7 linked regions of the Nothobranchius furzeri genome follow. The protein of the gene in region 6 binds, or shares a complex with, the protein of the main gene of each other region. Links are inferred from orthologs where the notes say so. Each region holds a gene or a part of one and is shown on either strand. Other genes may lie near its edges.

Region 1 (3,254 bases), on a different chromosome or scaffold from region 6:
TCCGAGGTTTGACAATCCACCTGACCCTCCTCACCAGAACCCCTGAATAGATCTTACCAGGGAGGCTCAGAAGTATGATCCCCCTGTAGTTTGAACACATCCTGCTGTCCCCCTTTTAAATAGTGGGACCACCACCCCGGTCTGCCAATCCAGTGGAACTGCTCTCGATGTCCATGCGATATTGCAGAGCCACGTCAGCCAACACAGCCCTACAACATCCAGAGCCTTAAGGATCTCTGGGTGGATCCTGTCCATCCCTGGAGCCTTGTCACAGAGGAGCTTTTTCACCACCTCAGTGACCTCAGCACTAGAGATTTGAGAGCCCAACTCAAAGTCCATCACTGGAAGCCGTGCTGGTGGAATTGAGGAGAACTTCAAAGTACTCTGCTTACCGATCCACAACGTCCTGAGTCGAAGTCAGCAGCACACTGACCCCACTATAAACAGAGTTGGTAGGGCACTGCTTTCTTTTTGGAAGTTAGAAACTTCTGACAGGAGACTGCCATACATTCCCAGCAGACCCTCACAATACGTTTGGGTCTGCCAGGTCTGACCGGCATCCTCCCCCACCATCGAAGCCACCTCGTCACCAGGTAGTGGTCAGCTGACAGCTACGCCTCTCTCTTCACCCGAGTGTCGAAGACACGCCGCAGATCAGATGAGATGACAACAAAGTCAATCATGGAGCTGTGGCCTAAGGTATCCTGGTGCCAAGAGCCCATATGGACCTTTATGTCTGAACACGGTGTTCATTATGGACAATCCATGACGAGCACAGAACTCTAATAACAAAACACAGCTCGACTCAGATCAGCGGCAGACTAGAACACTTAAGTAACTCTGCAGCTTACCTGTGTGATTGTTAACGTGGTCCTGTTGACCTGCTGGGCTTGCAGTGTTGCTTGAGTTCTGGCCTTTACTACATGAGAGCACAACATGGGCCCAAGGTAGCCATATTCTGCCCGATACTGCTCCACGTTGTCCGGCTGAGGTCGTATCTTGGCAATAACACTCGCACAGTGTTTCTTTAAAAAGAGAATAAACAGCTTATTGCAACCTTTAAAGCACTAGTTGTTAGTCTCTCAGTGTTTTAGTTTACAAACGAGTCTTATTCACATCTAACGACATTTATTACCAGTAAGAGGGTTTGAACATGTTCAGCTCCTATCTTGTCAATGTTGGAGACCACAGGTCCCTCCATCACTGCTTTGATGCGAGCTCCCTCTACGGTGAGTCGAGGAAGGATCAGCGTCTTTATCACCTGAAAAGGTCAAAAACAGGAAACGATGATGTAACAATTCTGAGACACAGAAGTCGTAAATTAGATGTTTTTTCTCTTGTAACAAACTCTACCACCTTCATTTCAGACGATGGCACTTTTCCATTACCTCACTGTGAAAACTTATAATTCTTCCAAATAGAGGCGACCAATATTGGTTTTTCTATTGCCGACAGGTAAAGGTGATGGCCGATTAGTGCTGCCGGTATTCTGGGCTGTTTTTCGTGGTCGATATTTAAACGTTTTCTACCTCATGTTCATGCTAAAATGCCACCAATAACATCAGTTGATTTACAAAACGTTTGAAACCGAATCAGTTTTTGAACACCGAGTTTAACCAACTGTTAAATCTTAATTTTATGCACGGCTCAGTGTTGGAATCAGACATTTAACTAAAGTTACTCAAACAAATTAGTAAACTGGCAAAACTGGTCAAATTTAAGACATTTTAGTTGAAAATAGTTTTTTGAGCATTTATTAAGCAGATGTTATTCAGGAATGTAAATATCCACAAATTTAATTCTGCAGCAGCACCAGGCTGCCCGAGGACATGCCCGACTTTTAATTGGCTTTACTAAGGAGTCGCATCGGCCGATGCTGATATCTAAAAAGTGGTAAATATCAGCCGAGATATCCGTCCACCCCTACTGTCAAAAGGAAAACAACTCAAATGGGAGCACCCCACCACAGAGTTTTTTTTTTTAGAATTGTTTCTATTCACATATTCTAAATACAGTTAAAATAATAGAAACCTGTTCATTGATTAGCAAAAAATTAAGTTAAAATCTAAAAAAAAAAAAAAAAAAAAAAACTTACATCAGCTCCGAGTTCAGCAAGTCCAGCAATGCAGCCGTATCGTGTCGTCCACTGGGTCTTATCATCGAACAAACTCTGAAAATGTCCCCCCCCAAAAAAACACTGATTTAAAATGAGTTTGTGTCACTAGAGCTAGTATTAAGAGTTGTTAAATAATAGGTCATTTGGGTCATCACTGCAGATGTGCTGCAGAACGTTCTACACATTAGTGTTATGATCATCATGGTAAACGTTTGCCTTTAGGGTAGACCTGTTTATTTACATGGGTTTGGTTTACTGGCTCGATTGGTGAAGAACAAACACTTTATTAATGAAATATTAATTACAGGTAAGTTATAAGTGGAACTTTGATTAGATTTTTTGTTGTTCAAACATTTTCTAGTCAAAAACATAAATTCTAGCCACAGAACTTTTCTCTCTTATCTCTTTTCACTTCAAAAATGTCTTACGACCACTTTCCTACCAAACACCTACCTTGGTCAGAGTCTTGGTAACACGTGACTGGATGTTGTTGGTTGTGGTGCTGAAGGTTTTACAGCTCTGAGCCATCAGGCGAGCAGCAAAGTCCCGTAAAGCCCAGTGGTTATCAACATCTGGTCGTAAACACAGCTGTTTACTCACAATACAGGTGACCACAGCTGGGATCAGCTCATGCAGCTACAAAGAAAAACAGCTTTGTTAAAATAATCTTTAGTTTAAAAATGGCGTGGACTTCTGGTTTTTCATTTACTCACATATTTTTCCAAATACAGGGTGGGATTGTCCATCAGAGCTTTGACCATCCGCATGAGATAAATCAGCAGGGCCAAGTTGTTCTGCACCACGTTTACACGGACCTTCGAGGAGAGCGTAAAATCAGCTGACTTATGTTTGATGTGACATCAACAATGTTTACGTTAGGTTAGAAAGATTCTTACTCCTTCAGAAATAAATGTGCTGAATCTTGGAAGCATCTGATACAGACCAGGGTCCGTTGCAATACTCTGTAGAGCTTCCTGTATGAATCAAATAGAAAAACCAGATCAGCAAGCTCACACACATTTTCTAAAATGATGATTCTGCTCTCCGACTTTCCACTTTAAATGGACACTAGGCAGTTTTGGCTAGCACCACCTTGTGTCCGTTTAGTAGAACCAAAAGCAAATCTTATCTCCTGGCT
Region 2 (4,662 bases), on a different chromosome or scaffold from region 6:
CACAGTTTATGGTGCTGGTGACCCAAAAACACAGTTTATGGTGTTGGTGACCCAAACACACACTTTAGATTGTTGGTGACCCAAACACACAGTTTAGGCTATTGGTGACCCAAACACACAGTTTAGGGTGTTGGTGACCCAAACACACAGTTTATGGTGTTGGTGACCCAAACACACAGTTTAGGGTGTTGGTGACCCAAACACACAGTTTATGGTGCTGGTGACCCAAACACACAGTTTAGGGTGCTGGTGACCCAAACACAGTTTAGTTTATGGTGCTGGTGACCCAAAAACACAGTTCAGGGTGTTGGTGACCCAAAAACACAGTTCAGGGTGTTGGTGACCCAAACACACAGTTTAGGGTGTTGGTGACCCAAAAACACAGTTTAGGGTGCTGGTGACCCAAACACACAGTTTATGGTGCTGGTGACCTAAACACACAGTTTATGGTGCTGGTGACCCAAACACACACTTTAGATTGTTGGTGACCCAAAAACACAGTTTAGGGTGCTGGTAAGATGAAACTAAAACATGCTGGATACCGGCCCTCCAGAACAAAGGATTGAGAACCACTGCTTTATACATTATTAGATTATTTACAGCGGAAATTAAACAGAGGAAAATCCAATCATCCCTCTGTGCATTTACATGCAGCATCAGTAAAACACAATTGCCTTATGTTGGCTGAAGTTGTTTTTTATGCATGTAAACATATCTCCAACATGTATTTACACCAGGTCCAAAGCCTTTCTGTAAAATCTTTCTGCAGGCTAACTTACGCAGTTTTCAGACCCCCTTCTGAGCGGGAACAAGCTTTATAAATGAGTCCCCTGGTCTTTTATTTTTTTAATCACAACTGTCTATTTTTTGCACATTTTGAATATATTTTTAACCATTTTCTAAATTCTTTTTTGTATTTTTACATTTTTTTGTTTTTGTGAAGCGCCCCGTGATTTTTATCTTGAGAGGCGCTATAGAAAGGAAGAAGAAGAAAATATCATTTCTGTAGCGCCTCTCATGATAAAAATCACGAGGCACTTCACAAAAACAAATATAAAAAATGTAAAAATATAAAAAAGCATTTCGAAAATGTTTAAAAATATATTTAACATGAGCAAGAATAAGCAATTGCGATTTAAAAGAAAAAAGTTAAGAAAGAGGGAGAGTGAACAGGAAAGAGGGAAATCAGTGGATCCTGAGGAAGGTGGAATAGGTGGGGAGAGCAGAATAAAGAGAGAGAGGTGAAGAAGGTCATACAAAAGCCAGCTTGAACTGGTGAGTCTTCAGCTGCTTTTTAAAGGAGACCACTGAGTCCACTGATCTCAGGCTCAGGGGGAGAGAGGTCCAGAGTCTGGGGGCCACAGCAGCAAATGATCTGTCACCTTTGACCTTTAGCCTGGTGCTGCACAACCAGTAGGCTTTGATCACTGGACCTCAGGGACCTGCTGGGGGTGTAGGGACTAAGAAGATCACCAATGTAAGATGGTGCTTGTCCATGTAAGGCCCTATAGACCAGAACCAGGACCTTGAAATGAACCCTGAAGTTGACTGGCAGCCAGTGAAGCTGGAGGAGAAGCGGGGTGATGTGGGTGTGTTTGGAGGACTTGGTCAGAAGCCAAGCACAGGCGTTCTGAACCACCTGTAGACGGTTCAGGGAGGTTCTGCTCAGACACGTGAAAAGAGAGTTACAGTAGTCTAAGCGTGAGGAGATGAAGGTGTGGAGAACTGTCTCAAGTTCAGAGCGGGACAGAATGGGACTCAGCTTAGCAATGTTCCTGAGATGGAAGAAGGATGAGCGAACAAGAGAACTGACATGAGAATCCAGGGTGAGAGCTGGGTCAAAGGTCACGCCAAGATTCCTGACAGAAGGTTTGGTGTGGGAAGCAAGCTGACCAAGAGAGTCTCTGACTTTGGGAACCAGCTTGTCCTAGCAGGAATACCCCTAACAGGAAACCCTAGCTAGGAACGACCAACAGTCCTTGCTGTGCTGACCGAAGGTTCCTTGAGGGAACATAAGGATGGATCAGATCTGATAGATAACGTGAAGACAACTCATTTAAACATTTAAAAGGATATTTTTTTCTTCTTCTAAAAACTCCTGTTTTTATGGTAAAGAAACTAATTATAGTATAAAAATTTATGAGGTGGTTCTATAGAATTTAATTAATATTTAAACAGAAACATCCTTCCTTAACAGCACAAAACTCTGCTTTTAGATTAGAACACTTTTAGTGAGTTAGGATTTCTACTGAATAGTTTTCTTTTCCACATCCTCATATCTGCTGAGCTTGTCTGACACCTGAAAACATCTAAATCTTGTAATAAGTCAGCTTTTCATTTATATTTACAGTTAGTTTATGCTAGCTCTGGTCCCAACTCTATGAGAAGTCAGAAACAACAGATTATTGATCTTGCTCGTATTTTACTGTGAGTGTACCAAATCATACAGACAGTTGTTCTCCTGAAAGTTACAGACGTCGTGGCCCTTTTTTTGGTTCTTGTTAAACTTTTTTTCTTTCTATAGACATTAAAACTAAACTTTAGTGAGTATTTGTGAATAAAAGTGATGTACCCAGTTTCCAAATCCATACTGCTCGATGGCATCGAGGAGCGACTGCTCTTCCCTGCTGGTCCATCCTCCCTCTGCTTCGGGACCCCAGAGTGAGAAAAGACCGCCGTCGACCTGCTGGTAGCCATGCCATCTCCGGTGATTACCGATTTCTGCACCTGCCGAAAAGCACTCGGGACACAGCTCGATATCGGGGCAGTCGGTGCAGCGAAGCCGTAGGTTTGTAACATCCGCGAGGCAGTTAACGCAGTACTTCTTCCCCAGGTCGGCCATCTTGCCTGGCTCTTGCTTCTTGTTGTAGAAGGCAGGACCTCGCGCCTGCGCACTACGTGCCTCACTACTCGCGCTGCACACCCACCTTCCTAATTAATATTCATGAGCGTCACAGAGCTCCTGTGATTGGTTCCTGGTCCCAGTTTCCAGGACAACGGAAACTAAACGAATAGTTTCATTGACAACAGAACTGCGCGAGCCGTTTAACTCCAAACAAATGCCATTTAATACATTCTAACTTTATTTTTTATTATTAAAAATGAGTAGAGAGTTACAGAATGAAGAAAAGAATAATGCTCCTAATAATGTTAATGAAGATGAAGAAGAGCACGTTTCAGCTGGAATATTAGCACACGAGGCACTCTCTGTCAGTGGGAAAGTCATAAATAGGCTCTTTGTTGAAGAAGCAGCATCCTGTGAGCCAGAGGAGGGCAGTGGTCCCACCACAAGTAAAGAGCTCGATGTGGACATGAACAAAACAAATGAACACCTGCAGAGTGACCATGATGGACCCTCGGGGATCAACTTTCAGACCCCTGACAAGGAGCCCATCTGTCCTGCACTGGAGGAGGACGAGGAGGAGGTGCCTGCCGCACTTGCAGACAAAGAAGAGCACAAAGGGTTGGTGCAGCTCCTGGAGAACCAGGAGAGAGAGGAAGCCCACCAGCTAAACCAACAGCTGCAAATGAAGTTGGCAGGATACTTCCAAAGGAGAGCAAACAAGGATGTTCATCAGGAGTGGTCAGCATCAGGGCAGCATGAGTATGAGAAGCACCTCCAAGCCCTGACTGACCTGAAGCTTCAGCTCAGATCTGCTTCCGAGTCAGCCCAGAGGCAGGCAGAGGAGCTGGAGATGCTGGCACAGGAGAAGATGGACCAGGTCTGAAGACGGCTCATACAGACTGCTGCGGTCTCTGACTTTAGTGTAAAAAAGCTTGTTAGTTTGCTGTTTTGGGCGCCACACAATTACATAATGGTCATTTTGTCACTCAGGACCTAAAACCTGAACTCTAGGAAATGTAGGATTTTTTATTGACCAGAGAGAGACATTACAGATTTGTTAGATGAGCTGTATTAAGTTAACCTGACTCTGACAATATTTTAAATGTGTGCCTTCAGGTGGAAAAGGACTGGCAGGCACTGGTGGCTCTGAAGCAGGATGCAGCTGAGGCGGCGCTTAGTCGTCGCCTGGGGAAGGAAGCAGCTCGGGCCAAAGTCAAGTCGGTCCTGGTTGCAGCGCAGATTCGGCAGGACGAGCTGACCAAGGTGCGCCTCAAGCACTTCAAGTTGAAGCTGAAGGTCCACAGGCTGGAGGCAGAGCTCCGTGAGAGAAATAAAGACAGCAGGGATCCCCTACAGGTCCGGTTTGAGCAGCTGTGGGCTGAAAGGCTGAAGCAGAAACAACAGGCTGAGAAAGAAAATGAAGAATCACTAAAACTGCAGAAGAAGATCAGCTGCTGCTTGGAGGTAATGTGATGAACCCATTAGTGCAGCGAAACCCAAACGTGTGAGTCAAAGTTTACATCTTGCTGATTTCTCCTATGGTTCTGTCTTTGCTGTTGCATCAGCTCCTGTCAAACATCAAAGAGAAGTTGTTCTGGGGTCAGATGGAGGTCCAGTCAAGACGGCAGCAGTTGGCAGAGGTGGAGGCCATGGTGGCTAAGAAGAAAGACCTTCTGAGCCAAACCAGGCAGGACCGAACCAGAGTCCAGCGAGACAACCTGAGGCTGAAGGAGCAGTGTGGACTCCTGGGGAACAGAGTCCTGCTGCAGGACTTTGAGGACACTGTGGATGCTTCAGAACAGCTGGAGAAGCATCTG
Region 3 (4,365 bases), on a different chromosome or scaffold from region 6:
GTTCACAACAAATGGCTTAAAGGGTGATTTGGTTTAACCACCTGAACAAAAAATGTGTTCTCTGATGTTTTATGAAACCAGAAATCACATTTTATGCGACATGTACCAGATAGTGGGTTTTTGTTTAATGATGACCACAAAACTGATTTATTTATTAGAAAATATGTCCCGTAAGAGTCTAAGCAAACTACAAGTTTCTATCTGCTGTAAATATAAACACATAAAATATCCAGTTGTCCTATTATTAGTAATAATGTGTCCAGGATTAGATGCAGGGGATCAGGCCCAAACCATCACACCACCACCACAAATCTTCACTTTGATGTAACAAGATACCTACTTTGTTCATGCAAGCATAAACATTTACACACCTGAGAACACAGCTAAAATAAAGCTGATCTTAATTAAAACAGGTTTTAATGTAAGGAAACTTCAATTATGGCTCTTCTCTATAGATTCATGTTTTACTATTTAGAGCTATCAACTCCTGTCAATGTTTCCGCGCACCATTATGGTTAGCTTCACTCACAGCTTTAACCAGAGGTGTGGGCTGATCCTGCACGCTCGGTTCTTTATTTTCTTCTGTAGGTTTTTCTGAGACGAGTTCATTTTCAGGTTGATCCTTCCTAACTACTTCTTCATCGATAGCAGAAGCTGCCGTCTTCGGAAGAGAATCTTCTGTTTTGATCCGAGCAGGATCTGCCATCGTTTCTCGACGTCTCTCTACGATTCAGCCTCTGCAAACATAAAATGTTCTCAACATAAATTTATCTGGATAAATATAGACCAATTAACTGGTAAACAATCCAAATATGCTATTAATAAACTTGAAATCAAAATAAATGATACTCTGGTGAAAGATCCTCTTATCATAGCTACTGAAATGAATAAATACTTTGTTGACACAGTTCGAGATATAACTCAACAATTCACACCGTCTAACGGTGTTTTTGATCCTGTAAATCCTTGTCATGCTGTTTTCAGGATAGAAGAAATAACAGAAGTGGACAGCAACCAATCAAAGGCAAAGGATGTATATGGTCTCTCGACACCCATTTTTTAAAACTGCACAAAGATGCACTAATTCAGCCGGTAACTCATTTAATTATTCTATCGTTTAAACAAAATGTTGTGCCTTTAGCATGGAAGCTAGCTGCAGTCACGCCAATTGACGAAACTGAAATGGCCAATTATCGGCCCATCAGTATTCTCCCCACTATCTCCAAGGTTGCAGAAAAGTGGGTGGCAAAGCAACTGAATGCATATTTAAATTTTGGACACACATCCCTACATCCAATGCAATTCGGATTTCGTAACTGCCACTCCACAGAGACTGCAAATTGTGTCTTTGTGGAAAAAGTCAAAAGTCTCCTTGACAGGCATGCATGTGTAGGAGCTGTGTTCATAGACCTCAAGTAGGCTTTCGACACGTCGATCATCAAATTCTTCTAAACAAATTGAGTCATTTTAATTTCTCACCAGAGGCGCTGCTCTGGTTTCAGTCTTATCTGTGTGACAGAAAACAATATGTGTCCTTGTTTGGCAATAAATCCTCCTACATTAGTTGTCCAGTTGGAGTTCCCCAAGGCAGTATTCTGGGGCCGATTTTGTTTATCATTTATATTTATGATCTTCTCGAAGTATGTTCAAAAGTAAACATACAAATGTATGCAGATGATGCTGTTATTTTTACTGATACTAAACGTCCTCAGGAAGCCTCCCAATTGTTGACTGCAACCATGGCCCATGTACAAAAATGGGTCAAGAGTTCCCACTTAAAGCTGAACATAAAAAAAAACTGTTTGCATGTTTTTCACCAAAAAAAACAAACAATTGAACTAAAAAAAATCAAACATCTTTCTTGAAGGGGTAGAACTTGATATTGTCAAAGAATTCAAATATCTTGGGTTAACTTTGGACCCAACCTTAACTTTTAAGAATCACATTAAACAACTTTTAAAAAAAAACTGTCAATTATAATGTCATTTTTTTAACAAGTTAGACCTTTTTTCACTCCATGCTGCAAAGTTATTTTTACATTCTATGATTTTGTCTCACATGGAATAGTGTATAACCTCCTGGTCACTTGCTGCTGGTGCAACACTCAAACCCATAGAATCCCTTTTTTTAAAAGCCATAAAAATCCTTGATAAGAAATCATTTAGTTTCCACCACTGCTTTGTTTTAGATAAATATAGACTTCTTAATCTTAGTAACTTTGTTACCTTCAAGAATGCTTGCCTGTTTTTTAAGGTTTTACATGGACTAGCCCCTTTCCCACTGACAGATTGTAATAAATCGCGGTCTATCAGTGGAACGTCGACCAGGGCTACAGATAGAGGAGACTGTGAGGTGCCTTACAGACGCACTGCTTTTGGCCCGACCACACTATCCTAACTAAATATTGGACTAAATATTGGAATAGTCTACCACTCAGCATAGGTGACTCACAGTCATGCAGTTCCTTCAAATTCAAACAATGGCTGCAGGAAACCCAAACCCGTATCCATCAGTAATTTGTCCTCACCGTGGTGTTTTGTGTGTTTTCTTTCTGTTTTTCCTAGTTTTAAATACAATACTTTACTTTCTTTTATTGCTTTTATTACCCGCCTAGGGACTGCAGATGTAAATTAGCACTGGTGCTACAATCTGGCATATTTACCGATGCAATTTATTGTTGAAGTTCATTAATATGCACTGTCCCTATTAAATAAAGAAAGAAATGAAATTTACCGTTAAGGTGGATTTTCACGACAGAAATAACAGCATATACATACCTTCAAGCCAGAACGAGCTCAACGACACCACAGGAAGCAGCAACAAAACTAATTTAAACGTATTTTAGGTAGCCGTGAACAGAAAGTGGATTAAACATGATACATTTGTATAATATGTTAAAGCACACAACAAACGTGAAAAGCTAAGCTAGCGCTTCTTTCTTCTTCTTCTTCTTCTTCTTCTTCTTCCTTTTCTTCTTCGTGGGTTAATGGCGTTTGGAAAAAAAAAATGTTGTCGCCCCTTACCGCACTGGAGGGTAGCTGATGAGGCGAATTCATAAACTCTAGGGAATCTTGAACGTAAAATAGTGCTGTTCTGTTTATTGCCACCAGCATAGAGCTCATATTTTTCATTTAAGGAAAAAACAGACTTTGGAAGAAATTAGATAGTCTTTCTACTCAGGAAGTCTTTTACATGTATTAATCCAGATTTATTTCCTTCAAATCCTCCTCCTCCTTCTCTTTTGTTATGTCCCCGACAGGAGATGTTAAAATGTGAAGGAGGGGTAACATAAGAAATGCGACAGCGGGTTTAAAATGGCTTTAATTGTTATAAAAGGATCTACCTGGATAAGATGCCTGTGTGGAGCTTGCTTCAAACTCAGTTTTTCATTGGCTTTTTGTGAACGAAGAGGTAAATTGCTTTCCTCTAGTGGCGAAAAGCCGAAACTACACGTTGGTTCTGGTCATTTTTAGTCATTGGGTAAAACATCAGTAGAAAACATGTTAGCGTCCTTATATCAATGAGGCTAGAAACTGGAGTTTGAAGTAATTATCTTTAGGTAAGATAATACTTCTTTTTTACAAAACGTACTATCTCTTTAACAAACGTAAGCTAACGTGCAACAACAACGACGACCCAGCGCTGTGATTGGCTGGAATGAGCCGCGAGAAACGGAAAAGGAAGTGGTAGATGTTAGGGGAGGAGCTTAAGGTAGAACGGCCATGGCGGGATGCGTGAAAACGACACACTGTTGTTACAAGTCAGCAATAACCAAAGTTTTAGTCTTCGTTGTACTCTTTATCTGTTTACCCCAGTCTTCACTCCAGAGTACTGGTAAGAAGCTGTGTTACAAAGTGGGAAAATACACAGTCACTTACTTTATTGTGTTTTAACTCAGGCTAATCCAGCTAATTAGTGTTAGCTTGTTTCTTTCACAAAGTGAAACTGCTTGTGTGAGTTTAGTGGTGCTTCATACGTTCCTCTTTAATTCTGTTGGTTATACATGTAGTAGTTAACATCACCCCAATTCCCTTTTCGTACAATTCCTTTACATTTCACATGGATAAGCTATTAGTTGGGTTTATCCAAAAGATAAATCATTCTAACAATTAGCAGTAGATGATAATCTCACAGGATTATCCAGTCCAGAGACATGTCTGCTTGTGAAATCCAGGGAAAGCAGCCCAAATAATTGATCTGCAGGATGGAGAAGAGTTCACCATGTCAGGATCTAACCGGTTCTGCTACAGAAATGCTCTAGTGCCGACTTGGAGGCAAACTTGGACACGAATTCAGGTGAGTTTCTTGAACTATTATTGTATGTAACTTTTATTCTAACTGAAGTGATAAGATTCACTGATCCAC
Region 4 (3,868 bases), on a different chromosome or scaffold from region 6:
AGCCCCCTCCATGAGGGCCAAGAGGTCCTTGATCTCTGGAGAACACAGCTGCACCATGAGAATATCTGAAAGTGTCAGGGCTAGGGTTGTCACGGTAACCAGTGTAGCAGTAAACCCCGGTAAAAAAGTAGACAATAATAATAACCGTCTTGTTTTAAAAAATATATATATTATCTCGGTGGATTACCGTGGCTGCGGTGTAGGCGCGGTGACCCTTACCAGCCACCGTATCATCTGCTGGAAGTTACCGGCGGCACATGCGCGCTTTGTTGTTTACGACCAAAACTTTCTTGAAGCCAAAGCTGAAATAATGGCAGGAGGAGACGGCAGCACTTGGGACATTTATTATCCCTCAAAGAAGACAAAGTGGGAAGTACGGGCATTTTTTGGATATTTGAAGAATGCCGAGGGACAGTTGATAGAAGACGGCTATCCTGTTTGCAGCACGTGCAGAAAAAAAGTGTCTGTGAAAGGCAGCAACGCTACGTGGCCATCATAATGTAGCCATTGTCTCACGACTCCGCCATCTCCAGTTCGCCACTTTTCACAAAATCTGGTTGCCACTGGTCCTGGTGGTTTTTCTTCCAGTTCGACGAGTTTTCTTTTGGAAGGCTGGCTGACTCCAGTTAAAAACCGCCACATTTCACCGCTAGTTTTAACACGAAGCTAACTGCTAACTTGATAAACTGATTGAATGGGATAGGTGGAAATGACATTGGATGCGGCGCTCACGTTTCGCGCACGTTTGTGTACGTTGCATGCAGGCGGGAGGAGTATCACAGAAATCCATGGAAGATGACTGATAAACATAACTAATTTGGTGCAAACATTTACTCGCCAGGTGGCAGATAGAGCTCAAAAATTTACTCGCCAAATGGAGCAATTTGCTCGCATTTGGCGAGTGGCGAGTGTTAATTTCGGACCCTGTGTGTGTGTTTTAGTGATTTCATGCAATTCAGGAGCAAAAAGAAAGCATTGGCCACTTACTTTCAGGGCCTGGTTTTCCACCTTCATGATGAGCTCTTCCTGTTGTTTCTTGCGGGCAAGAGTTTCCTGAAGCTTGGCCTTTATGTTGTTAATCTGCACCTGGTACTCCATAACTGCAGAAAACAGCAGGAGGCCAACGTGTTAAAAAAGGTCCTAAAACAACTCAGAAAAAAACAATGGTCTGGCATCGCTTGATGCAACTAAACAACTCTGGAGAACAATGCATGCATGACTGCAGATTAAGTAAATTAAACCTTCTAGGGAACGATTGGTCTGTTTAACGGATGATGCACCAGCAGCAGTGACGCATTATGAGACAATTAAATCAGTTTGCTGTAGGTTCAACAAAGAGAGTTACAATTAATTCAATTCAACTGATTCCCACTAACCTGTAGCTGCACTGGCTCCATATTTTTCTAACTAATTGCATCCATTCACTGCTTATTTCCACTGGTGCTCAATTTTCCAATGCAGTTGCTGTATTGTGCTAAATTAAGCAGCAAGGGGCCCTTGCTGCACCATTTATTACAAGCCTGCACAGCAGCTGGAATCATGGCAAACCATTCTGCAACATATTGGAAAACGCTCTGCCTGGATGCTGGTCTGCAGCTGACCAGTGGAGTTGCTGACTGACAGCTTCACGTATGCAGATAAGGAGGCCCGGCGCTGTCAGACCGGACAGCTGTCTGAGCTGCATGCCGCGCTGCAACACCTGTCAGCCTGGTTGGTTAAGGAGGAGAGCTGAGAGCTGTCAGTGTGTTCGTCTGCAGGGTGCAGCAGCATGCGCGTTTACGGGGAAGCCAGGCTATTTCTTTGACTGTGTGTGATGTCTGACCTAGAAAGCTCACTTCTTATTAAAAGTTCAAACACTTGGTTCCGTTTATTTTTTACATCTGCTTCGACAAGTACCTAGGGGTGATCTGATTTAATTTAATGTCTGACTTTCTTCCAAAGTCCAACCTTGTTGCTGTGACCACTCTGACAAAAAAATTAACAACCAAGTTGGCTAAGAGATTGAACATTTACCCTGAGGTGTGAGTTGCAAGCACAGCATGAAAGATTGCATAATCCAACACAGCACTTGCTTCATTCAGCTAGGTATGTAGGTTATTTGGAAGTAAAGAGATTCAAATTTGAGTCTGCACTTTACGTGCAGACGTTTCCTGGAACCTGCAACCTGAAAATGTTTAAACAGGTAAATGAAAATGATAATTTACAGACCAGGGGCCTCATTTATAAAGCTTGCTTGCACAGAAAACAAGGTTTGAAAACTGCATAAGTGACTTTCCATGCAAACGTGACTTATTCAGAAAAACTTGACAGAATAATTGTGCGCAAATTCAAGCAAACACTGGACCTGGCGTGAGTACGCTTTGGACACAGGAAACCTGGCCATGATACAGAAAGCAGAAACTGCGTGCAGCTGTGAGTGAGCAGAGTATTATAGGTCGTAGTAAACTAGTTTGCGTGAGTAATTTATTCTTTACTGAGCTTAAGTAGGGTTTTGGTAAGGATTCTATGCAAAGTTTTATAAACGAGGCCCACATTGCATTTTAGAAAAAGGTTAAACAGCTTTAAAGTGTGAGATTATTCTCCCCCACACTGCTGACCTTGTGATGAACAACGACCAAACTTCTAATTCTCACCTATCTGGTTGTTTCTGTCGCTTTCATGCTGAGCAGAATCCGACTCGTTGAGCTTTTCCTGGAGCTGTCGCACTAGATCATCCTCTGTGTCCATGATATTCAGGTCCTCGTCTTCATGCCGGTCCCCTTCGTCCTCCTCTTCCTCACTTGAGCTGCTGATGTCGTTGAAGATCTCCCTCAGCTCGTCGCGCGGGACTGGCCGTGCAGAGCACAACGGTGTTATTAACAACAACACACAGACAAGACACGCTGAAACTCTGAAAACTAAGATGGCTTTGAATTCCCTTGGAGACACCAAAGTTTATAAAAAGATAACATTTTTGGTCTGTTGGTCATTGACGGAAAACATCCTGGAGTCCAAACATCCAGAATAATCTTCTCTGATCTCTAAACCCAAACCTTGACTGTTTGGGCGTTTTGTAAAAACTGACATGAAGATCATCATGTTTTATTAATTTCCTTTTTAATAAAAAAAAATATCTCAGCACAAATAAAATCACAAAATAAGGTGTTTTTCATTTTAAAGGCCATTAAAAAAAACTTGTAACATTTAAAATTTGTCAAAAGTTTCTTAAGTGGACAGTCTAAATTGAAAAGGCTACAAACTGTAAGCAGCACTGGTAAAGTATATGGAAGCAACTAAGGAAGTGTATTGGTGAAATGATGGTGATACGATAAGAATCACGATACGGGGAGGCGATACGATATATCCCGATATATTGCGATACATTCAGTCAGACGATATCAGCGATTTTTTTAGGCTGAATTTATTGTAGGAAAATTCAATAAACAGTCAAAACTGATACTTATCATGTTTAACATGAGGTATCTGACCCATGATAGAGGGATTTACAATTCAATGGTGGAAACAGAACCCATTGTACACTGCTGCCAACTAGTGGTCGGCATTTGATTTGCACCAAAAGAAAAGTTAATACACACGTTTGCATGTAAATTCTTCCAAAAATTAGATACACAGCTTTTGAATATCGATATATCGCAGGAAAAAAGATCACGATATATTGCTATATCAATATTTTCTTACATCCCTAGAAGCAACATATGACTGAATGCGTCTATAAGCAAACAATACATGCATACGAATGTATAAAGATCTGATCTATGCTAGCTTTTCCTGAGGGACTAAAGCAGAAATTCAGGCTTTTCGTCCTTTCAGGATTTATGTATGGTTTTATAGAAAGCAGTCACAATCAGAGTCTTAATCTGTACCCCAG
Region 5 (4,539 bases), on a different chromosome or scaffold from region 6:
AGAAACGTATCTCTGTTGATTACTCCACTAACACCACACTAGTACCAATAAAGAGCTCTTGTGTTATTTTGGATAGCGCCTTATCCTTCCTATTACTCCTAACCGTTCTAACACACTCCGCAGTGTAGCTGCGACTCTCTCTGTTTCAATCCTAAGTGCTGCTTTTTATTGCCCTGTTCCTCTTAGTTTAGACCTTCAGAATGGCACCTTCAAAAAGTTATTTTTACTACTACTCTACTGCGCCTGGCACCAATTCCCAGCTGTGAAGACTTACTGTCACCATATTTCCAGCTGTGTTCTCGCTGTCGGTCTGGTCGTCCTGCTCAGAGGAGTCCGTCTCCTCCAGCGACTGCAGTTCCAGCTCCGAGGGCAGGAGGGCGCTCAGATATGGGATGGTGCTTGGCCGAGCTGCGATCACTAACAACAGCAATGTGTTATTCTGTATTAATGCACAGGGTTACACACAATCTGACGGGTAATGTACAGTCGGGATCCCTCACATGGGAAGGCCGTGACGTCGTCTTTGAAGAGGCTTTGAGTTTCTCCAGTTTTGGCCATGAAGCGTGTGAGGGCCCGTTCTACGTCTCTCCTCTGGTTCGCTGCCTTTTCTCTCACCACTTGGTACTCGGACACAGGCTCTCTGAATGTCTGAGGGAAGGAAGGAGAGCCTCGCAAAACACCTGTTTATGCAACATCACCCACTATGGGGGTGAACGTGGTTTTATAGGGCTATTATGGAGATTATGTTGATGAACTTACAGGTGTTTTGATGTAGGTATGAGGGTCCGGAAACTCTGGGAAGTGGCTAGGAATATGAGGTGGGTGAGTGCGCTTGTGCCCAGCTGACAGGGATTTAGGTGTTGTTGGTGTGTTCGTGACTGGAGCTAAAAATCAGGAAATACAAACATGTAGAACTTAAAACTAGCCTACAACCGTGACTCGTTACTTGATATCCTAGGGTATCATCACAGCTCTAACAGCAGAAATGTCAGGTTTTGTTTCTTACGAGCTGTAATGACCATCCTCTGTGACCGCTTGGCGTACACGGGGAGAGTGTCGACATTAAAACCTTTCCAAGGACAAACAATCACCGATTAGGAGTGTGTTCACAGTAAAAAAAAAACATGTCACCATGCTGATGCACCTTCAGTCTTACCCATTTCAATGAGTGTGACCACCGTGTCAGAGAGGGTTGGGACGCTCCTGGCCGTGTGTTCACAGTATGCTTTGGCACAACGACCTATTTCACTTATATCTTTACAGGAAAATGATACCATTAGTATTTCAAAAACTCTACAGGCACGCTTTTAAACAACCAAACAAATACCTCATCAAAGGCCAGCACCAATCGTACAACACAGTAGTGGATAGAAGCTCTCAGAGTCATAACCTGCAGTCACTAGTTCTTATTTAACTTCTTTAAACGCTGGACGTGACTCCGGTTGAAGACGTTCATTTGAACACATTGTGATCTCTTAACAGCGACATATTTTTTATTAAGTTCTCATTTTATTTATTCAGAGACGGGTGAGGGAGCTGACTGTGGTTGTGTGTGTTTGTGTGTGTGCGTGCGCAGACACGAGGGTCCAAATGCGGCTTGAATTCACCATTTGTCATCTCACCTGCTGTGCTGCTAGTTTCCCTGACTCCACAGGGGTTTGCCTAAAGTTGTGCGCATTTTCCTGTCAGGTTTTCTTTATAAATGTGCGTGGAAAGTGACACACGCGGTTTTCAGACCCGGTTTTGTTTATAAATGGGGCCCCAGATGGAGCAGAAACAGCTGAAACATAGAGGACGGAGGCTCTTTAAAGAGCAAGTCACCCCCTACAAGAAGCGTACTCCACTCCCACTTCATGTTTGAAAAATGCAACAAATGCTGTTGCCTAGCAGACCGAGAGGGTGGAGCCACTAACAAATACACACACGCACGACATTGTGACATCATAATGTACCAGTTTACATCATAGCATACCTCTTAGCCAATAGCGGTGGCAGATTTAAATTCAAATGCAGTGAAGAGTTTTTACCTGACAACGGCACAACACTGACAGTTTAAGGCAGAAAATTTAAATTTTAACTAAAATGCACTAAAGTGCAAAACTATTGACCACACGTGTCTGCAGCACGATTAGACACGCATTTATATAGTTTATCAGAAAAAATAGTTGATTTGGGGGTGACTTGCTCTTTAAACTAACCTAGACTGATTAGATCAAGTGAAGTTTAGACGTAAACATGCATTCATCTGAATAGCCTTAACCTGGTGTTGGAAGCTCGTGCTCAGCGGACAGAAGCTACTGTTTGTAAACACTTACAGCTCTGCATCATCTCCGTGAGCGTCTCCACCGCGGCCTTCTCTGCGCTCTCAAAGCCGCTCTCGGTCAGCAGGGCGCTGACAACAACCTGCAGGGTGCGACGGCGGGCCAGCTGGTAGTTCTCCGCGGCGCTGGAAGCCGCTTTAGCGCCACGCTGAAAGAGCACACACACAAACCCTGGCGTTGTAAGGTGCTAGCTTAATGTAAATATCTATCGAAATACTACTGCTCGTGCCAAGGACCAACATGTTTATTTACAGTAGTAATAACTGTGGCGATGAGAGGCGCTTGTAAGCTAGCTGGCGCGTTCTAATGCCCTAAAAAGCATCTCTTACCCCGCAGGAGGGCAGCGACCCTCCCGATACTACCGCTGGATCCGCCATAAGAGGTTAGCTCCAGGTTTCCTTCTCTAACAAATGCAATTCTTCTTCTATTTCTACTTATCCAGAAACCGCTTCACCGTCGATTGTAAACACAGCTCATACTATGACGTAATTTCCGCTTTTGTTGCGGAAGTGAAATTGAGTATTAGAGTCTTTCACTCTGCCATCTAGTGGCTATTTGCTGACATAACGTACCAGTAAGGGCGCACATCTCCCCAGTTTTACTGCTTACTGGTTACCAGAGGTGGTCGGGCCTTTCGAGCAGTGGCTCCCACACTTTAGCTCTGTCCTTGTGCTCTTATTGAAAAGATTGTGTTGAGAAACAGCTGAAAACACATTACGTTAGAATTTTTTTATACCTTATTTTATGTTCTTTTGTTTTTACGAGCACATTTTTACACAGGTTGTATGCGGTGTTTACAGTTTTTATTTGTGAAGCCCTTGGTGATATTTTTTCTGCGAACAGTGCTAAATACACATTACTTTTTGTTTTACTCAATAAAATTCTCCTCATGCATAAAGCTTAAACCTCTACCGTTAAAGTCGAATAAATCTGAATCTGTGGGCGCTTTAAATTAGGGCCAAAATTCTGCGAGCAGAAAAAATGTTTATTTAAGTACAAAATGAATGACACGAATGGCATTTCATGAGCTCCATAGACACCCAGTGCATGTCAGCCATTGGAACCTGCTGCCCAGCAGCATTACTAAACTGTATCCTGCAGTTTTTATTGTAACATTTCAGCTAAGTTTTAGCCACCAGCTAAGAAAAACTACACATTTAACCATATCTGAAATAAATTAAAGAATAAAAAATGAGCTGCTTGATTTGGTAATGCAGGCTACCACCACCACCACCACCAACAATACTGGTATATCTTTGTCCTTTTAAGTGGTGTGGAGTGTTTCTTTAAGAAGCATGTAAGCGGTTGGCTGAGCTTCTCTGGATAGATGTCCCCAGATATTTAGTCTTGGCTCCAAACGATACTGCTCCCATCATGTCCTCAACTTCGGCATGAACTGTGGCAGAGTCTGATTTGCTCGTACTGTTTTCCTTATTCATCTCGATGTAGAACTTTGCTTGTTCTTCCCCTGGGCTGTGATTGTCTAAAAAGGGCTGGAGAATCATCTCCACCACACCACCGACCATCCCGATCATCGCCAGAGTCGAGCCGAGCATGTAGATCTTAAGCATGCTCCAGCTGGGCTTCTGTCTCAGCATTTCCTTGGCAAAAAGGATGATTTCGTTGGTGCTGTCCATTTTCTGATATGCAATGATTCTGCTGGAAGAAAAATAATAGTTTAATGTAGTGTTCTTTTGTGGAAAAAACAATTATCACAAAGACATTTGGCTAATGAATGATACTCACTCTAAGGCAGACGTCAAAAATGTGAATTTCTCCCAAGTGTTTGGCACGATCAGGCATTCGCAGGTGGAGAGGCTGGAGCAGACTTCCCATTTAAATACAGCCGAAGCCGCGTTTCCTCCCACAACAGAGGAGAGACCATGCATATTTATGAGGCCACCTTTTACAGAGATTAGCACGTGTTTGTGTCAAAGGGCATGGGTTTGTGGGGAAGAGAAGTTGAACAAACACTCCCCATACGTGTAACATCACACATGATGTGCAGCACATACAGTAAACAACTGTTTAGTGAGTGCACAGTCACTGAAAATAGTTTTGGAAAACCCATCAATGAGCATACAAACTGAAGTCTGAGTGGTTGGTTTACATTGTGTGATTTGTAACCATGCACATTGGCCTTCCTCACCAGAGCTTGAAAGTTGTCCAATCAAAGTGTTGGAAACCAAGAACAACCACGCCCATTTATTGTCTGACA
Region 6 (4,617 bases):
TGAGGAGATGAAGGTGTGGAGAACTGTCTCAAGTTCAGAGCGGGACAGAATGGGACTCAGCTTAGCAATGTTCCTGAGATGGAAGAAGGAAGAGCCAACAAGAGAACTGACATGAGAATCCAGGGTGAGAGATGGGTCAAAGGTCACGCCAAGATTCCTGACGGAAGGTTTGGTGTGAGAAGCAAGCTGACCAAGAGAGTCTCTGACTTTGGGAACCAGCTTGTCTGGGGCACAGATGAGGATCTCAGTCTCATCTTCATTCAGCTGTAGAAAGCTCCCACCATCCAGGTTTTGATAGAGTCTAAGCAGGTGTGTAACAGCTGCAGCTTAGACATCTCATGGGGCTTAAAGGAGATGTACAGTTGGATGTCATCTGCATAAAGATGGTAGGAGATTCCTTTAAAGGAGCTCAGGATGTGCTGAAGAGGAATTGCTATTAAATGATGCTTAATTCACATTCAGCAATTGTTGTTTTGTTCCTGTTTAAGATAAGGAGTGGAAGTTTTCCTAGACAAAAACCTGCAGATGTGGCCTATTTAATCTATTATATGAACTCAATGGGCATTAAAAGGAAAAACTGGTAATAATTCTGGTTTCAGCAGCGTGAAAGTGAACTCTACAACCTGGTGTGAGGCACACTTGTAACATTTAATCACTATTGTATGTTTGCTTATGTCTTCAGGTAATCATTAGAGGTGCTGAAAAAAATCGATTCAAGTCTGAATCGAGATTCTTATTTATAAAGATTCAGAATCGATTCACAAAGATTCAGAATTGCTTCCAAGAACTCAAATATTTGGCATGTTACAGGTCTGAGATGCACTTTTTTGATCTTTGTTAGGAGAGTCAGTACTCTGTTTACTTTTGTGGTCCCATAAATTGAGATGATTTATGTTTGAATCTGCTGATAAGAGGGCACTTGAATGTATTTTTTTCCCATACAAAGAAATTTGAGATATTCTCATATTTATTTTCTAAGTTGATAAACGAGTACTCAGGATTACTCATGTAACTTGTTTCTACACATACTTGAAAAGTATTTGACCGTATTACTTTCAAAGCTACTGTTAGGTAACTACAGATTAGTTATATTTTACAAGGTAAGCAAAAATAAATGTTGCCTTTTGGTCAAAAGGTTGTTTCTGTTTACAGTTTTAGAATCACTTTAGTTTACCTTGTAAATTTGCATTTTTGGAGCATGACCAGTTTAAAGTCAAATAAAAATGTCCCATAGCTTTAACTAACTTGTACAACAAAGTAGTTTATCCTGGAGCTGACACTCTTTGTTAATACTGATTGTGAATCGATTTAAATTGAGAATTGAGAATCGAGAATCGATTCTGAAACGAATCAGCACCCCAAGAATCGGAATCGAATCAAATTGTGAGTTGCTCTAAGATTCACATCCCTAGTAATCATCTTGGTGGTTTTAACAGGAGGCGTATGATTTATGTATATCAAGTGTGACAAAAATATCAACAAACAGATCAAAAATATCAACAAACAGATCATTTAATCTTAAACTTACTTTAGAGTATTTGGGATTAATTTCATGTGTTGTTGCGTCAAACGGCTTGCCATACACTTTTGATCGTAGCGGATCGTAGTCAAAGCCGATGAATTTTAAGAAGGCGGGACTTGATTCGTGTCCATTGACGCTTGGTAGTACCGACCAATCTGAAGGCTCGATCTTGCGTAGTCGGTGGTTCCCGTTTTTCAATTTCGCACATGCGCAGTTCATTTTTAAAATGGCGGCCGTACAGGGTGGTATGGTCGACGCAAAAGACGAATTAGACATAAAATCCGAACCGCCGAGCGATGGCTTCGGAAACAGCAATGCAAACGACGGAAGGCTACTTTCCTCGTCCCCCGGAGCCGGTACCGGCGGTACCGCGACTGGAAACAACAAACCTGCCCCGGGACCACCTGAGGAGCAACAGACGCTGCTGGCAGTTCTGCAGTTCCTCAAAAAGAGCAAACTGGCGGAGTCCGCTGAAATCTTGCGTCGTGAGGCGGGACTGCCGGAGGATGCTCTGGACCCGAAGGGGACGGACGCCAGCGGGTCGGGACCGGGGCTCGCCGCGGGGAGCGGGCAAGTAGACGGCGTGGACGCCAGCTCTCTGCTCAGCCGGGTGACGGTGTCTTCCTCCGCCGCAGCGCAGGCGCCAAAGAAGGGTACAGTTTGATCCAGCTACGTGGAAGCGGACCGCATAGTTGTAGTTAAACACGTGATTTTAGTCACACATCACAATTAAGTCATCACACACTTTTACGGTTGGATAATTAAAACACGTGTTGTTGCAGATTCCAGCCTAGCTGCATGTTTTTACTCACTTTCCGCTTCTCCTGCTGGTTTATGCTTGGTCTCAGAAGTGGTGACTAGTTATTGTTTTTTGCATCTCATGAAGTTTTTTCTCTTTGTCCTGTATGGATGACGTGGTGTCCAGCAGCAGCTGGGGAGGACCAGCCAGATGTGAGCGTGGTGCTGTCAGCTTACAGCCAGCAGGGAGATCCTTCTCTGTATGACGCCTACTACAGCGGCCTCAAGAGGTTCATAGAGTCCGTTTTGGACTGTCACCGCGCGGAGCTGTCCCAGCTCTTCTACCCGCTGTTTGTCCACATGTACCTGGAGCTGGTGTACAACAACAATGAAAGCGTGGCCAAGGCCTTCTTTGAAAAGTAGGTCTCTTTATCCTCCAGCCACATTCTGCAGATCTTCTTCTGTAAATTCCCTGTTTTATTTATCTTCCCAGGTTCAGTGGAGACCAGGAGTGCTACTACGAACAGGACCTACGTATTCTCTCCAGCTTGACGAAGAAGGAGCACATGAAAGGCAACGAGACGCTGCTGGACTTCCGCACCAGTAAGTTTGTCCTACGGATCTCCCGAGACTCGTACCAGCTGCTCAAGAGACATTTACAGGAGCGGCAGAACAACCAGATATGGAATATTATCCAAGAGCACCTGTACATCGACATCTTCGATGGGATGCCGCGCAGCAAGAGCCAGATCGATGCAATGTCGGGCAGCCTGGCAGGAGAGGCCAGACGAGAAGCCAATAAGGCTAAGGTGGGTTGAACAAACCCAAGATGAGGCCAGGTCTCCATTTTAACGGAGAGACCCGTTGAAGCACGTTTTACTTTATCTGGCGTAGGTTTTTTACGGCCTGCTGAAGGAGCCAGAAATTGAGCTGCCCCTTGACGATGAGGATGAAGAGGCCGAGAACGAGGAGGGTAAACCCAAGAAGAAAAAGCCCAAAAAGGATAGCATGGGCTCCAAAAGCAAGAAGCAGGATCCAAACGCTCCTTTACAAACCAGGTGTGGGTTGGTCACGCAACAACTTACCACGTTCCTCCCGCTGATCCAAACGTACACCAATGGAGGAAATCCTTTGTTTGTTTTTCTGCTGTTCAGGATACCTCTCCCAGAGCTGAAGGACTCTGATAAGCTTGACAAGATCATGTACATGAAGGAGTCCACCAAGAGGATCCGTTTGGGGTCCGACAACCTCCCGTCCATCTGCTTCTACACTTTCCTCAACGCGTACCAGGTAAACGAGCACTAACCAGTAGGGTTGATCAAAGCTAAAGGTTTTGTGGCGATGTAAGCTGCAGCTGATGCTGCTCGACCTCCACAGGGTCTGACCGCCGTGGACGTCACCGACGACTCCAGCCTGATCGCAGGTGGTTTTGCTGATTCCACGGTTCGGGTGTGGAGCGTCACGCCGAAGAAGCTCCGCAAGGTCAAGTCTGCAGCAGGTAGAGCGCGCGGCCGAATAATCGCCTCTTTAGAAGTTCTGCAGATGTTTGGAGTTAAAATCCTGTGTTCTTTGTCTTTTTTTAGATTTGAATCTGATTGACAAAGAGTCAGACGACGTTCTGGAGAGGATCATGGACGAGAAGACGGCCAGCGAGTTGAAGATTCTTTACGGACACAGCGGGCCGGTGTACGGCATCAGCTTCAGCCCAGACAGGTAGTACCCACAATGCAACATGACCATGTTAGCCCACTCATGGTTTTACGCTAATCAAAGATTCTGAGAACAGCATTTTGTGACAAACTGTCGTCGTCTTCCTCCGCTTATCCGGGTCACGGGTCAGCATCCCAACTAGGGAGCTCCAGACCGTCCTCTCCCCGGCCTTCTCCACCAGCTCCTCCGGCAGGACCCCAAGGCGTTCCCGGACCAGATTGGAGATGTAACCTCTCCAACGTGTCCTGGGTCGACCCGAGGGCCTCCTGCCGGCAGGACATGCCCGAAACACCTCCCATTTTGTGACGAACTGAACCCGTAGAAATGTGACAAAACTGAATTAAAGGGGACATTAAACTAGGGCTGCAACAAACGATTATTTGGATAATCGATTAATCGGATGGGGTCTCGACACGATTAATCGATTAATCGGATTACATGGGGGAATTTTTAAAAACTGCTAGGGAAACGTTATTTCTCTCCTTCCTTCACTTTATTAAACACAACATTATTAGAAAACAGTTCAATAGCAGAAAAACAACATGCCATCACCTAAATTGTCTTATAAGGTGTATAGACAGAGACCCTAAGCTACATCTATCTGTGACCTAAAATGCTTGGTCCAAGTTAAACAGCTTAAGGGCAAT
Region 7 (4,313 bases), on a different chromosome or scaffold from region 6:
CTGCAAAGCAACAACAGAGCGGTTCTTAGATGTTGACTTCCAGCTAGTCTCGGCTTTCTAGCTGCATTGGGAGGACACCTTCGAATGGGCTGCAGCAAGTCAGCACAAGTCCACACTTGTGTGTCAGCTGCAGATAATCCACCGAGAGCTCAGGGGCAGGAGAAACATCAGGAAGAAAAAAGTGGATTTTGACACCACCGAGACTGCAGGTGGTTCTGTGCCAATAAACATACCTGACTTCTACCTCCGGTTTGTTGTGGCGCTCCACCACCTGAGAGGAGAAGTTCTCCAGACAGAGGGCTGCCTGCAGGGTGGACCTCACAGCGTTCAAATACGGGCGCAGAGTCGCTGTCTGAGCAGGAACAGAGATCAGGGTTAGCAACAGGAATCCTGCATGATGATGTTCTGTTGATCCAGCTCAGTGAGACCGACCTCACCTGAGCCAAAACTGAGCATCCATACATGAATTAATACATATATAACCTTATTATTTTTCACTTTGTCCGTTTTAGGGTTTCTTTAATAAAGTAGTTATCGGTCGTCTGTGCAGAAAACTGCATTAAAAGCAGGAATTAAGCTGAATCTCGGTGAGTGAGGTGCCTCCAGGTGAGAGTAGATCGCTGATCAGACCTCATAATTGTGCTAGTAATTTTACAACGTTAAAAACGTGTGTTTTCAAAGAGCCACCTGTAACACTAACGAACGAAAAAAGGCCCCAGAACACAGCTCAGCTAAATCACTTCAGTCTCCATTCCGTATGAAAGATGCCCGTTACTGAAGCCAGCCACAAACAAACGCCATCTGTGTGACTCGAACACATAGCTAGCTAGCTAAGGTCAAGTCGCAGTGAGTTGAAAGAAATCGCAAAATTATTCTATATTTTCAGAAACTCGCAAAGTGCAAGAGACTTACCATTTTTGAGCTGTGAAGAAGGAAGTTCCTCAGCCACGCCTGGTACGACTCTTCCGTAAATTCTTCATGGTAATGTAAAGCAAGAGTGCGTTTGTTCTATTCACCTTTCTGGTTGGGTTAGGCGGGCATACATTGTTTGAAAGTATAACTCCGCCCAGCAGGGAAGTGGTTTCTAAAACGAGCACTTACAGCGGTGCATCCATTTGTCTAACCAAGTGGGGGGTGAGAGTCTTTGCTTTTATGACTTTTAAAAAAAGTTACCTTGATTTTTAAAATGATGGTTGTGTTGATTTAATTCGTAAAATAAAAATACTACAATGTTCCACTACGTCGATTTAGAATTGAAAATCTACTTAAAAGGTTTTGTGCAGCTGCGCACTGATAGAACATGGTTTAATCCCACCGTGACATTTTGGTTTACATGGGGGTTGTTGTGATCAAAATTTGGCAATTTTTGTTTTGTGTGCTGTATATCTTTAAATCTAATAGTACATATTACATAACATAAACACAGTGCTTGATTAATATTTCTTTTGGTTCAGGGAAGGTGCTGTTTTATTAATATCTTTATCGACACCCCTCTTGCTACAATGGTTTGTTCCATCATGGACACTTTTTACTGACGGTAAATGCTACTACTCAATGTTTCTGGGCTCCAAACATGAAAATGTAAGGTCTTAAATTTCTCCGTGGTGTAATATCTGTATGCAGACAGTGAATATGAAAGCCACTGTTGTTAAATTCTGAGATATCAGCCCCATTTGGGCCCGGGGCGGAATGATGCATCCTTTTTTCACGTACGTGCTTTGGGTTTTTGATTAGAGACGCACCACCGAGCTCGGCCGAACACCTGTGTGTGTGTGTGTGTGTGTGTGTGTGTGTGTGTGTGTGTGTGTGTGTGTGTGTGTGAGAGAGAGAGAGACACACATACTTCTAACTAACGCGATGCTCGTGTTTGTACCAGTTTAATAGGACATTGACAGCACCACGGCATCATGAGCGAACTGAAGGACTGCCCCCCGCTGAAGTACTACGACTTCAAGCCCGTGGAGCACGTTAAGTTGTGCCCCCGTTACACCGCAGTGTTGGGACGGTCAGACGACGATGGCATCGGCATCGAAGAGCTGGACACCCTGCAGCTAGAGCTGGAGACCCTGCTGTCCTCAGCCAGCCGGCGCCTCCGAGCCCTGGAGGAGCAGAGACAGGTGGGTGTTTCAGGTTAATGAAAGAATGGACTCCAAATAAAAAATATATAAAAATATTAAAACTTTCATTCTTACCTACTTCTTCAGATCCTCACAGATTGGCAAGACAAGAAGGGAGACAAACGATTTCTAAAGCTGGGCAAAGACCCAGATCCTGCGGCCCCATCCCGCCATAAACCTAAGAAGCAAAAACTGGATGGAAAGGGAGGACATGCACCAGGCCCAGGTCCTGGCAGACCCAAATCCAAAATCCTACAGCCCAAAGTTCAAGAGTATGATTTTCCAGATGATCCACAAGACATCCCTCGCACTCCGAAGAACGATGCACCCAACAGGTTTGCAGCATCAGAACCTTTTAAGTATAGAAGAATATCTTCTGGTGCATTATTAGCTAGACTGTTCAGGGATGTGCTGTATATCCACAACAATCATCAGTTTGTTTTTGCTTTAATGTGTTTTTTTTTTAGGTTCTGGGCGTCAGTCGAGCCATATTGTGCTGATATCACAAATGAGGAGGTACGACTGCTGGAGGAGCTTCTTAAGCCTCCAGATGATGAGACTGAGTACTTCAAAGTAAGACGTAAATCACAGTCTTCTTCATTTAAGTAATAATTAACATCTTAGTTTGCGGTTGATGAAGACGCATTGTGGGAAAAGTACGCCAGCGACTCAGCTCCGTTTGTGCTAACTGTAGATTCCAGCTCTGGGGAAGCATTATTCCCAGCGATGGGCCCAAGAGGACCTGCTGGAGGAGCAGAGGGAAGGAGCACGGGCCAACGACAAGAAGAAAAGCATCATGGGAGGGCCGCTGTCAGAACTAGATGCAAAAGGTGAAGGAGGCCTGAAACGATCGTGAGCATGTGTGCTTTTGTCTTAACTGTGCTTAACTGTGACATGCAGCTGTTGCTACTATGTTTGTTTTAATACTCGTCTTTACTTTTATTTTATTTTTTACAGATGTCGACTCCCTGCTGAAAAAGTCAGAATCCCAGCATGAATCACCAGAAGATGGGTGTCCCTTCTTCCCCCTCACACAGCGGCTGCTGCAGGCTCTTGTAGAGGTCAGACTAACTCCATTCAAATCTCACTGAATTAGGATTGAGGTGCAACCATTTTTAGGTAACATCGACTTTTGTTTGTTTCTACTTCATTGTGTGGTATTGTTTTCCACTTACCCATATTCATCCGTTTTAAGATTTCATACTTTACAGCAGGCAGAGATACCTTCTGATTCCTGACAACTACTTTTAGTGTAACCAACATATGTATTTATGTGTGTTCTCTAGTGAAACAACTTGATTCATCAGCCAGCACTTGTGGTTTCTGTAACGGTCATAAGATCACAATCTGAAGTACTTTATTCAGCTTTGCTTTGCAGCGTTGCTCGCACTTTTACCTTCTTTTCAACCGTTTGTCTTTTTAGTGCATCTAAAGCCTCTTCTGCACCAAAAGCTGCAAAGCTGAGATCTGAAAGCTGTTTATTTGTATGGTTTGGAAACGTTGCACTGCGGCATACTCTTGTGCAGCCAACAGACACATAAAACATCTCTGTGCGTGCTGCTTTTGGTGTGCCAGAGGCATCGGAATAACTGTCAGAAACCTGTACACTGATTTGTTCTCTTGCATTGATCCATGCAGAGAAAAAGTGTTGGGTGTTGACACAGCACTGGTTGGTTTCTAAAGTTTAAGTTATGTTTGTGTAGATTTTGCATCAGAAACAAGAAAAGTATTCATCGCTAAATCTGGAGCCTGAAAAATGTTGCTGCAAAACCTTTCTAGAATATTTGAAGTCCAGCTCCTTTTGGGCTTATAGCGTAACAAGAGGTAGTCATAGAGGTGTATGTTTATCAGTTTGGTTTTGTTCTTTTCCAGGAGAACATTATATCCCCTATGGAGGATTCTCCAATACCAGACATATCAGGAAAGGATGCCAATGACGGTGCTGGCACTTCTCCTCGAAGCCAAGGCAAAGCATTCAGGTGCGTTGCATCGTATCCGTGCAGAAGATCAGCTCTTTGTAGAACGTTATCTACCAGGTTCAGTTTAAGGTTCGGATGTTTGTCTACAAAGCCTGTGAACTGCCTATTTCTAACATGCCCACTCCATCTCAGAGGTCTGCTGTAGGGATGGAGAGATTCACCGATATGAACCGGTGGTTCGTTCATAACGTTAGCGATGCGACCGCACCGGTAGCTT

Evidence for each region.
Region 1: taf5 (region 6) and taf6 share a complex: the UniProt entries of both Homo sapiens proteins name them as parts of the TFIID basal transcription factor complex. The link is inferred for Nothobranchius furzeri from reciprocal best matches to the Homo sapiens genes TAF5 and TAF6.
Region 2: taf5 (region 6) and tada2b share a complex: the UniProt entries of both Homo sapiens proteins name them as parts of the TFTC-HAT complex. The link is inferred for Nothobranchius furzeri from reciprocal best matches to the Homo sapiens genes TAF5 and TADA2B.
Region 3: taf5 (region 6) and taf11 share a complex: the UniProt entries of both Homo sapiens proteins name them as parts of the TFIID basal transcription factor complex. The link is inferred for Nothobranchius furzeri from reciprocal best matches to the Homo sapiens genes TAF5 and TAF11.
Region 4: taf5 (region 6) and taf7 share a complex: the UniProt entries of both Homo sapiens proteins name them as parts of the TFIID basal transcription factor complex. The link is inferred for Nothobranchius furzeri from reciprocal best matches to the Homo sapiens genes TAF5 and TAF7.
Region 5: taf5 (region 6) and taf8 share a complex: the UniProt entries of both Homo sapiens proteins name them as parts of the TFIID basal transcription factor complex. The link is inferred for Nothobranchius furzeri from reciprocal best matches to the Homo sapiens genes TAF5 and TAF8.
Region 7: taf5 (region 6) and tada3l share a complex: the UniProt entries of both Homo sapiens proteins name them as parts of the TFTC-HAT complex. The link is inferred for Nothobranchius furzeri from reciprocal best matches to the Homo sapiens genes TAF5 and TADA3.

The regions. Positions count from the first base shown.
Region 1 is NC_091750.1:47,777,012-47,780,265, reverse strand, and holds part of taf6 (transcription initiation factor TFIID subunit 6), read right to left. Parts: intron 3,091-3,254; coding exon 3,013-3,090; intron 2,932-3,012; coding exon 2,830-2,931; intron 2,753-2,829; coding exon 2,570-2,752; intron 2,171-2,569; coding exon 2,096-2,170; intron 1,262-2,095; coding exon 1,136-1,261; intron 1,026-1,135; coding exon 852-1,025; intron 1-851. UniProt on the Homo sapiens protein: The TFIID basal transcription factor complex plays a major role in the initiation of RNA polymerase II (Pol II)-dependent transcription.
Region 2 is NC_091754.1:63,115,818-63,120,479, forward strand, and holds the start of tada2b (transcriptional adapter 2-beta), read right to left. Parts: upstream 2,978-4,662; 5' UTR 2,843-2,977; coding exon 2,573-2,842; intron 1-2,572. Other genes in the region: cfap184 (cilia- and flagella-associated protein 184), read left to right, coding at 3,102-3,722, 3,962-4,309, 4,411-4,662. UniProt on the Homo sapiens protein: Coactivates PAX5-dependent transcription together with either SMARCA4 or GCN5L2.
Region 3 is NC_091755.1:54,208,679-54,213,043, forward strand, and holds the start of taf11 (transcription initiation factor TFIID subunit 11), read right to left. Parts: upstream 2,968-4,365; 5' UTR 2,778-2,967; intron 738-2,777; 5' UTR 707-737; coding exon 530-706; intron 1-529. Other genes in the region: nemp1 (nuclear envelope integral membrane protein 1), read left to right, coding at 3,723-3,834, 4,175-4,296. UniProt on the Homo sapiens protein: The TFIID basal transcription factor complex plays a major role in the initiation of RNA polymerase II (Pol II)-dependent transcription.
Region 4 is NC_091741.1:82,927,489-82,931,356, forward strand, and holds part of taf7 (transcription initiation factor TFIID subunit 7), read right to left. Parts: intron 2,829-3,868; coding exon 2,634-2,828; intron 1,101-2,633; coding exon 988-1,100; intron 1-987. UniProt on the Homo sapiens protein: The TFIID basal transcription factor complex plays a major role in the initiation of RNA polymerase II (Pol II)-dependent transcription.
Region 5 is NC_091755.1:40,694,761-40,699,299, reverse strand, and holds the start of taf8 (transcription initiation factor TFIID subunit 8), read right to left. Parts: upstream 2,827-4,539; 5' UTR 2,699-2,826; coding exon 2,651-2,698; intron 2,470-2,650; coding exon 2,316-2,469; intron 1,256-2,315; coding exon 1,157-1,255; intron 1,070-1,156; coding exon 1,007-1,069; intron 885-1,006; coding exon 760-884; intron 649-759; coding exon 501-648; intron 418-500; coding exon 275-417; intron 1-274. Other genes in the region: g0s2 (G0/G1 switch protein 2), read right to left, coding at 3,608-3,980, 4,068-4,210. UniProt on the Homo sapiens protein: The TFIID basal transcription factor complex plays a major role in the initiation of RNA polymerase II (Pol II)-dependent transcription.
Region 6 is NC_091746.1:23,735,758-23,740,374, forward strand, and holds the start of taf5 (transcription initiation factor TFIID subunit 5), read left to right. Parts: upstream 1-1,688; 5' UTR 1,689-1,748; coding exon 1,749-2,175; intron 2,176-2,447; coding exon 2,448-2,679; intron 2,680-2,753; coding exon 2,754-3,069; intron 3,070-3,154; coding exon 3,155-3,318; intron 3,319-3,414; coding exon 3,415-3,550; intron 3,551-3,637; coding exon 3,638-3,758; intron 3,759-3,843; coding exon 3,844-3,973; intron 3,974-4,617. UniProt on the Homo sapiens protein: The TFIID basal transcription factor complex plays a major role in the initiation of RNA polymerase II (Pol II)-dependent transcription.
Region 7 is NC_091743.1:74,426,788-74,431,100, reverse strand, and holds the start of tada3l (transcriptional adapter 3), read left to right. Parts: upstream 1-1,335; 5' UTR 1,336-1,537; exon of another isoform or gene 1,538-1,581; intron 1,582-1,876; 5' UTR 1,877-1,907; coding exon 1,908-2,117; intron 2,118-2,204; coding exon 2,205-2,452; intron 2,453-2,584; coding exon 2,585-2,690; intron 2,691-2,811; coding exon 2,812-2,947; intron 2,948-3,074; coding exon 3,075-3,178; intron 3,179-3,989; coding exon 3,990-4,096; intron 4,097-4,313. Other genes in the region: actin-related protein 2/3 complex subunit 4, read right to left, coding at 234-352, 913-915. UniProt on the Homo sapiens protein: Functions as a component of the PCAF complex. The PCAF complex is capable of efficiently acetylating histones in a nucleosomal context. The PCAF complex could be considered as the human version of the yeast SAGA complex.